Linked DNA regions of Oryctolagus cuniculus. The protein of the gene in region 1 interacts with the protein of each later gene in a pairwise test. Links are inferred from orthologs where the notes say so. Each region holds a gene or a part of one and is shown in the gene's direction. Other genes may lie near its edges. The genes, in order: RXRA and NR0B2.

Region 1 (3,795 bases):
CCCGTGCCCCCCGGGGCCCCCATCCTGCTCCCTGCGCCCTGCGAGACGAGCCGGCCGAGCAGGCAGCCAGGCCTCCTGGCAGGAGTTAACTGTCCACGCCCTTGCGGCCCGAGAGGGACCTGGATCTGGCTGGGGCCAGAGGAGTCGTGCCCGGCGCTGTGGGCGCTGAGGGCGCTGAGGCCGGAGCGGAGGGAGGCTTTGGGCGCTTTGTGCGTGCTGGCTTCTGCAGGGGGCTCTTCCTGTCCCTGGAGACGGGGTGGGGCTGGGCAGCGAGAGGAGGGGAAGGCGAGAGCTTCCCTCTGCCGGAGGCGGCCTGGAGCCAGCCGCGGGCGACTCAGCAGCTTTCCGAGTCATTGGGGGTTTGCAGAAGCGGAGATGGGGGCTGCTGCCGGGCTGGGGTCCCGCCAGCGGTGCCGGCGGCGGCGGGCAGGCGCGAGGCAGTGGGAAGTGTCTCCTGGCCCTTTGCGCTGACTGCAGAGCTGGGCGGAGGCAGCGGAACCAAAACTGCTGTGTCATTGCGACGCGGCAGCTGTTGCCAGGGTGACCGGGTGAGTTTCCCACGCTCGCCCCGGCGGGGCGGGCAGGCGGGGCGGGTGGCCCGGCGGGCCAGGGAGGAGTGCAAGGCCGCAAGGTGGCCCTGCCCCAGACGCAGGCGGTGTCTGTGCCCTCTCCCGGGTCACGTGACCGGGGACCCCGCCCCAGCTGGCCCCGCAGGGCAGTGGGGGAGCCCAGCTCTCCTCCCTCCAGGAGGCCTCTGGGGTCTCCTTGATGAGAGGCTGCCTGTGGTCAGGTGGGCGCCGGGCAGGGGCCGACAGGGGTGGGGTCGGCCATGTGTCTGGGCTGAGAGTCACCTGGTCACCCCCCTCCCCGCCTCCGCAGCTGAACTCACCCATGAACCCCGTGAGCAGCAGCGAGGACATCAAGCCCCCCCTGGGCCTCAATGGCGTCCTCAAAGTCCCCACGCACCCCTCGGGGAACATGGCTTCCTTCACCAAGCACATCTGTGCCATCTGCGGGGACCGCTCCTCAGGTAGGGCCTGGCGGGGGGACCCGCGCCCGGAGTCGGGGCGTCTGGGGCCTGGGGAAGGGTCCCCCTGGGTAGCCCACGGCGGCCCAGATGCCCCTCCCCAGCCGGCTCCCCTGTGGCCGGGAGCGGGTCTGCCCCCCCCCCCAGTGGGGAGGGCGAGGCGGGGCCCAGCTTACGCCCAGGCAGGCTCAGGAGCCCAGGGTCTCTTGGAGTCCGTTTTGTCCACGGACAGAACTCGCGTGGGGGCACGGGGCCCTCGCTCCCTGAGGCCACTGAAATTGTCCAGGTGTCCAGCCACACTTGCCCCCACCCCCGCCTGCAGAGTGACCAGCCTGCTGCTGGCCCTGGCCTCGGCCCTCGTGTCCGAGCCCCGCCCCCACCCCACACCCCGGCAGTCCCTCAGCAGCCCTGTGCCGGCAGGCAAGCACCCTGGTGTGTAGAGCTGCGGGCCGTGTCTGAGCCCCTCCCCCATGTCTGAGGCCCTGCCCCCTGGTCCAAGGGCCCGCCCCCATCTGAGGACCCTCCCTGTGTCTGAAGCCCCTCCCCCAGGTCTGAGCCCCTCCTCCCCGTGTCCAGGCCCTCCCCGTGTCCCTTCCCCCGTGCCTGAGGCCCCCTCCCCGTGCCCGAGGCCCCCTCCCCCTGCCCCCCCTCCGTGCCCCAGGCCCCGCCCCTGGCTCATGGCCCCGCCCCGCAGGCAAGCACTACAGCGTGTACAGCTGCGAGGGCTGTGTCCAAGCCCTCCCCGTGCCCCCCCCCGTGCCTGAGGCCCCCTCCCCGTGCCCGAGGCCCCCTCCCCCTGCCCCCCCTCCGTGCCCCAGGCCCCGCCCCTGGCTCATGGCCCCGCCCCGCAGGCAAGCACTACAGCGTGTACAGCTGCGAGGGCTGTGTCCAAGCCCTCCCCGTGCCCCCCCCCCGTGCCTGAGGCCCCCTCCCCGTGTCCGAGCCCTCCCCCTGCCCCCCCTCCGTGCCCCAGGCCCCGCCCCCGGCCCCGCCCCGCAGGCAAGCACTACAGCGTGTACAGCTGCGAGGGCTGTGTCCAAGCCCTCCCTGTGCCCCCCCCCGTGCCTGAGGCCCCCTCCCCGTGTCCGAGCCCTCCCCGTGCCCCCTCCCCGTGCCCCAGGCCCCCTCCCTGTGCCCCCCCAGGCCCCAGGCCCTGCCCCCGGCTCACGGCCCCGCCCCGCAGGCAAGCACTACGGCGTGTACAGCTGCGAGGGCTGCAAGGGCTTCTTCAAGCGCACGGTGCGCAAGGACCTGACCTACACCTGCCGCGACAACAAGGACTGCCTGATCGACAAGCGGCAGCGGAACCGGTGCCAGTACTGCCGCTACCAGAAGTGCCTGGCCATGGGCATGAAGCGGGAAGGTAGGCCCGGGTGGGGGCGGGGTGGGGGCGGGGCCCTGCTCCACCGGCCACGCCCAGCACAGCACCCAGGCCCGAGCTCATCCAGCGCTGCTGCTGCTGTATGGTGGGCGGGGCTTCCCGGGAGAGGCGGGGCTTCCCTGGGAGAGGCGGGGCTTCCTGGGAGAGGCGGGGCTTCCCTGGGAGAGGCGGGGCTTCCTGGGAGAGGCGGGGCTTCCTGGGAGAGGCGGGGCTTCCCTGGGAGAGGCGGGGCTTCCCTGGGAGAGGCGGGGCTTCCTGGGAGAGGTGGGGATTCCTGGGAGAGGCGGGGCTTCCCCGGGAGAGGCGGGGCTTCCTGGGAGAGGCAGAGCTTCCCCAGGAGAGGCGGGGCTTCCTGGGAGAGGTGAGGCTTCCTGGGAGAGGCGGGGCTTCCTGGGAGAGGCGGGACTGGGTAGTGCTGGGGGCGGGGCCCTGCTCTCTGAGGGGGCAGGTAGCTCTCAGGGCAGCACTGGGCACTTGCTGTCTGCCAGGCCCTGGGATTAGCGAGGAGACGGGGCAGACTGGCCGCTGTCCCCCACCTTCCCTGGTGGCGTCCGTGCTGGGGGACGGAGCAGTGAGTGGGCTCCGGGAGTCGGGCAGCCTGGAGCGAGCCTTCCGGAGAGCACGTGGGGCCACGGGCAGGAGCCGGGGAGAAGAGTGGGTGCCCCGAGCCCTGGGCTGCGTCCCGCTCTCCGGCTGTGACCGGCTGTGCCCGGTGAAGGGAGGGTGATGTTGGGGCGCCGCCTGAGACCTGTGGGCTGTCGCCACGCCCGCTGGCCGGCAGGGTGGGGGCATCGTCCCGCACTCTGCTTCCTCATGGGGCCCCTCCTGCCCCTGCCCGGGGTCGCCGCCTGCAGGAGGCGCCTCAGGCCCCGCTCAGGGCTTTGAAGCCGTTGTGCTGGCGGAACTTGGTGTGGGGAGTGGGTGGCAGGGAGGCCACTCCCCTGAGGTCACTGAGAGCCCAGGCGTCCAGCCAGGCGTGGGCTGCGGTTGCCGCAGTGCCTGTTCCCGTGGTCTCACACGTGTGTGTCAGTTCTGTGGCTGCTCCCGTGGTCTCACACGTGTGGGTGTCTGTTCTGTGGCTGCTCCCGTGGTCTCACACGTGTGTGTCAGTTCTGTGGCTGCTCCCGTGGTCTCACACGTGTGTGTTCTGTGGCTGCTCCTGTGGCCTCACATGCGTATGTCTGTTCTGTGGCTGCTCCCGTGGTCTCACACACGTGTCTTGCTTCCTTCCCCCTGGCCCCTGATGGACGGGGCCCCGTGGGCTCTCTGCCAACGCCTCCCTGTTGAGCTGTGGCCCCAGTGGGGCCAGGGAGCTACAGACATCACGTTGCTTTGTGGGTTTGTGTGTGTGTATGCACACCTGTGTGTACATGTATGTATGGGCACG
Region 2 (4,498 bases), on another chromosome or scaffold:
CAACAGAAGGAAGACCTTTCTCTCTGTCTCTCTCTGTCTAACTATGACTGTCAAAAAAAAAAAAAAAGAATAAAAAATTTGAAGACTGGTATTGTGGCACAGTGGGTTAAGCTGTCACCTGCAACCCTGGTATCCTATACCCAGTGCTGGTTCAAGTCCTGGCTGCTCCACTTCCTATCTATCTCCCTGCTAATGCACCTAGGAAAGCAGCAGAAGATAGCCCAAGTACTTGGGGTCCTTGCCATCAGTGTGGGAGACCTGGTTGGAATTCCAGGCTCCTGGCTTCTGCCTGACCCAGCTCCAGCCATTGGGGCCATTTGGGTAGTGAACCAGCAGATGGAAAATCTCTAAATAATAAATAAATAAATAAATAAATAAATAAATAAATAAATAAATATTTTAAAAAGACACTTTTTGATCAACCATGCAAGAGGAAAGATAAAATCACTTCTCTATTCTCACTGTAGAAAATAGTTTTTTAAAAATGATTGCCAGCCCCCCCCCCCCCGATCATGGGGTTATTCTCTAAGAGATTGATCCAGAGCTCTCTGATGAACTGGTTGATTCCAGGGACTGGGGAGGTTGATATCAGAAAACAAAGGAAGGTTCCAAGAATGCTGAGAGCAGATCAGGAGGGGGCTATCAAAGGCCAAATCTGTGACAATCTGGGCATCAAAATAGATAATGAAGGGAGGGTGTTGTGGCACAGGGCGTTAAACCACCACTTAGGACACCTGCATCCCGTATCAGAGTGCCTGGTTTAAGTCCTGGCACACTTCCAATTCAAGTCCCTGCTGAGGTCCCTGGGAAGCAGAGGATGATGGCAGGTGGCTGGCCAGGGTGGGCTGGGCAAGGTCTAGAGACCTCCTCACTCTCTCTCTCTCTAGCCCCATTGGCTACCGTCTGAGACGGATGTCAGGATGGAGGAGCCGTGTGGAAGTAGAGCGCCGTTTCTGTCCCAATCACAAGCAGGCCTGGCCCCACTCTGGGGGACTCAGGCCCTGGCTGCACAGTTGAGCCGGTGCGTCCCGAGGAAGGAGCCAGGACTTTAGGGTCAGGCAGCTCAGGGTCCCATTCCTTCCTGGAGGGATGGCTTTGGACACGTCACGTCACCCCTTTGGGTCTCACAAAGGAAGAATCCGGAGTCAACACTAGCTCTCAATATTGGATCGGAAGAGGCCTGGCCCCCAGCAAGTGCTCAATACAGGCAGCTGTGGTTTGTGCTCATTCTGGAAGGACTTTTCCGCAGCCATGACCTTTCAGGAGCTCTAGGTATCCAAAACTGGGACAGGGGAGTCTGCAGCATTGGGTTTCTGCAGGGCCCCCAGAACTGGAGTCAAAGGAGGGGCCACACAGCACAGTGGGCAAAGTCCTCCCAACCCCCCCACCAGGGTCCTGGCTCCCTTCCCCACAGCCTGTTTCTTACCAACAACACGAGCAGGGCCCCAAGGTTAGGCAAACAAGCTAGTGATAAGGCACTTCCAGGCTGGGCCTCGCACTCAAGGCTCGTCCAGCTCCAGAGCTGGCTTCCAGGCTTAGCAAGAGCACTGGCCTTGTGCACACGCAGGAGCAGGCACCTTTAGGGACACCAGCCACAGCCACATGCTGATTGTGCACCGGAGGCCTTGGTGCCCTGGTACAGCCTGGGTTAATGACCCTGTTTATCCACTTGAGTCATCCGATAAGAAGCAACCGGTCAGCAGGCAGGTGGCCCTGTGCCCCGCACTGGCTACTTCATTGACTGAAGTGATATCAGCGCCACGTGGAGCTCCTAACGGCCCCGCCCTCGCCACTTCCCCATCAGTCCTGCCAGGGTCAGTGTGCGTGTGCGTGTGTGTGTGTGTGTGTGTTTCAATGAACATGACTCCTGGAGTCAAGGTTGCTGGCCCATTCCTCCCTCCTGCCCACTGGGGATATAAATAGCGCTCGCAGCACAGCACAGAGGGCAGAGAGCAGGGAGGCAGTAGGAGTGGAGCCGTGACCATGAGCTCCAGCCAACCAGGGGCCTGCCCGTGCCAGGCCGCCGCAGGCCGCCCGACCATTCTGTATGCACTGCTGAGCCCCAGTCTCAGGGCCAGGCCCTCTCTCCCTCCATCACGCAGCCACTGCCTGTGCAGGGAGCATCGGCCCGTCCGGCTCTGCAGCCCTCATCGCACCTGCCGGGAGGCCCTGGACGTTCTGGCCAAAACAGTGGCCTTCCTCCGGAACCTTCCGTCCTTCGGCCGCCTGCCGCCCGAGGATCAGCGGCGGCTGCTGCGTGGCGGCTGGGGCTCCCTCTTTCTGCTGGGTTTGGCCCAAGACATGGTGACCTTCGAGGTGGCTGAAGCCCCTGTGCCCAGCATACTCAAGAAGATCCTGCTGGAGGAGCCCAGCTGTGGGGCCAGCAGTGGCCAGCTCCCCGACAGGCCGCAGCCCTCGCTGGCTGCCGTGCAATGGCTGCAGTGCTGCCTGGAGTCCTTCTGGAGCCTGGAGCTGGGCCCCAAGGAATACGCCTACCTGAAAGGAACCATCCTCTTCAACCCTGGTGAGCTTCCAGACACTTCTGGGTGGAGCTGGGAGGGGGCACGGGGCACCCTCCGAGGGCTCAGTATCTATTATACTACTGGGTCCCACAGGGCCATCTCACACGAGGGGCTGAGTGGCTAGCAGGTGGGAGCAGAGCAGGCGTGAGAACTCGGGCCGGGCCGGGCCCCCTGACCCTTTGAGGGGAGGGCGGCTGACACAGCCGCGTCTCAGCACGCTCTCAAGGGCAGGTGGCGTGGCGAAGCTTTGAAGGCTAAACTCCCGTGTGGGGTCAGAAAGTTCCCATGGCGGGGGGGATGGGGTGGGGTGGGGTGGAGAATGAAGGAGGTGCGGGGGAGGCAACTCAGCGGGGAGGGCTACAGATAGAGATGGAGATGGTGTCCTTTGTAATCTGGGGGCAGCTGAGGAAAGCGTGCCATGCCAGAAGGTCCTTGTGCCCACTGACTGCCCTCCCCGCAGCAGAACCTCATGGTGTGGTTACCATACGGACCTTTAGATGCGCTAACTCCTTTAACCCTCACGGCAAGTCTTGGAGACAGGTGCGGTCATTATCATCTCCACTATACAGATAAAGAAACTGAGGCACAGAGATTAAGCACCCTGCCCAAGGTCACTCAGTCATCAATGATGGTGCCAGAAATCCAATCCAGGCAGCCCGGTCCTTAACCCTTACCTTATATGGCCTCGCTGTCGATGGATAGATAAATAAAGTGATAAAGAAATCGATGGAGGAGGTAGTAGCGGAGCCTTGAAGGCTGAGCCGACGAGGCAGGTGATGCCTGCTGGTGGCGGGGAGAGGGTGCTTACCAGACCTGTCCGTCCTCTCTGCTCACAGGCGTGCCAGGCCTCCAGGCCACCTCCCATATCGGGCACTTGCAACAGGAGGCCCACTGGGCGCTGCGTGAAGCCCTGGAGCCCTGGTGCTCAGCAGGCCAAGGCCGCTTGGCCCGAGTCCTTCTCACGGCCTCCACCCTCAAGTCCATTCCGGCCGGTCTGCTCGGGGACCTCTTCTTCCGCCCCATCATTGGAGACCTGGACATCGCCGGCCTCCTGGAAGACATGCTCCTGCTGAGGTGACATGCTGTGGCCCAGGCAGGGGTCAGCCATAGCCTGTGCAGACGCTGGCCATGCCACTTCAGCCTGCCTGTCCCCAGGGGTGCCCCGCTGCTCCTGCACAGCCCCTCTCTCAGCCACCTCCGGACTGGGACTTCCTTGGCATGGACGTGGCGCTCCAGCTGTCTGGCAGGCCCTCTGTGGTCTCCAGAGGCTCTGCGCCCAGACTCCTGTCCCCTCCTGCTGATGGCAAAGGACTGAAGCTGCTCTTTGGGCCGGGGGAGTCCTGCTGGCTTTGTACAGAACTGAATTTAAGTTATTGGTTTTTGTAATAAAAGGTGTGACACTCTCCGAGCCTGCCACTGTGTTTTGGGCACACGACAGGGACTGTCTCACCTCCAGGGCCCACCTGCTCCTATCAGAGGAGGGCAGGGGTCGTAAGGGGCACAGGAGCCAGGCCTCAGGAAACGGGGGTGTGAGTTGTTCTGGCTGGGATGGCGATTTCATCTCTGAGATGAGATTCATTTTGCATGTGGGGGAGTTCTCAGCACACAATGTCACCTCCTTGCCTTTATCCTTGGAGCGAGAAGGCTCTTCTCCCTGTCCCACGCCTTCCACTAACCCGTCTCTCAGCGCCCGAGCCCTGCAGACTCCCTCTCTCCTCAGTGAAAGTTGGATCAGAGCCGGTCAGGAAGCAGCCTGTTCCCAAATTGAAACAGACCAGGTGACTGCAATGTCTGCAGCTTGGGACCCGTCACTTGGCCCATTCCTGCAGCTGGTAGCACAGGGGGGTCCATTATTTCCCAACAGGAGAGGGCAATGGCACCCGGGGCTGGCCTGGCAGCTACTTGGAGGCCAGGGCAGGCCAAGGTTCCGCTGGCTCACGATGGTGTGGCCTCATCTGTTGTTGGAGTCTGAAACA

The links.
Region 2: the proteins of RXRA (region 1) and NR0B2 interact in a two-hybrid assay, tested with the Homo sapiens proteins (2 studies listed by BioGRID and IntAct). The link is inferred for Oryctolagus cuniculus from reciprocal best matches to the Homo sapiens genes RXRA and NR0B2.

The regions. Positions count from the first base shown.
Region 1 is NC_091432.1:235,969,101-235,972,895, forward strand, and holds part of RXRA (retinoic acid receptor RXR-alpha), read left to right. Parts: intron 1-642; exon of another isoform or gene 643-790; intron 791-879; coding exon 880-1,030; intron 1,031-2,210; coding exon 2,211-2,390; intron 2,391-3,795. UniProt on the Homo sapiens protein: Receptor for retinoic acid that acts as a transcription factor.
Region 2 is NC_091438.1:144,600,171-144,604,668, forward strand, and holds NR0B2 (nuclear receptor subfamily 0 group B member 2), read left to right. Parts: upstream 1-1,709; 5' UTR 1,710-1,983; coding exon 1,984-2,524; intron 2,525-3,358; coding exon 3,359-3,600; 3' UTR 3,601-3,925; downstream 3,926-4,498. UniProt on the Homo sapiens protein: Transcriptional regulator that acts as a negative regulator of receptor-dependent signaling pathways. Specifically inhibits transactivation of the nuclear receptor with which it interacts.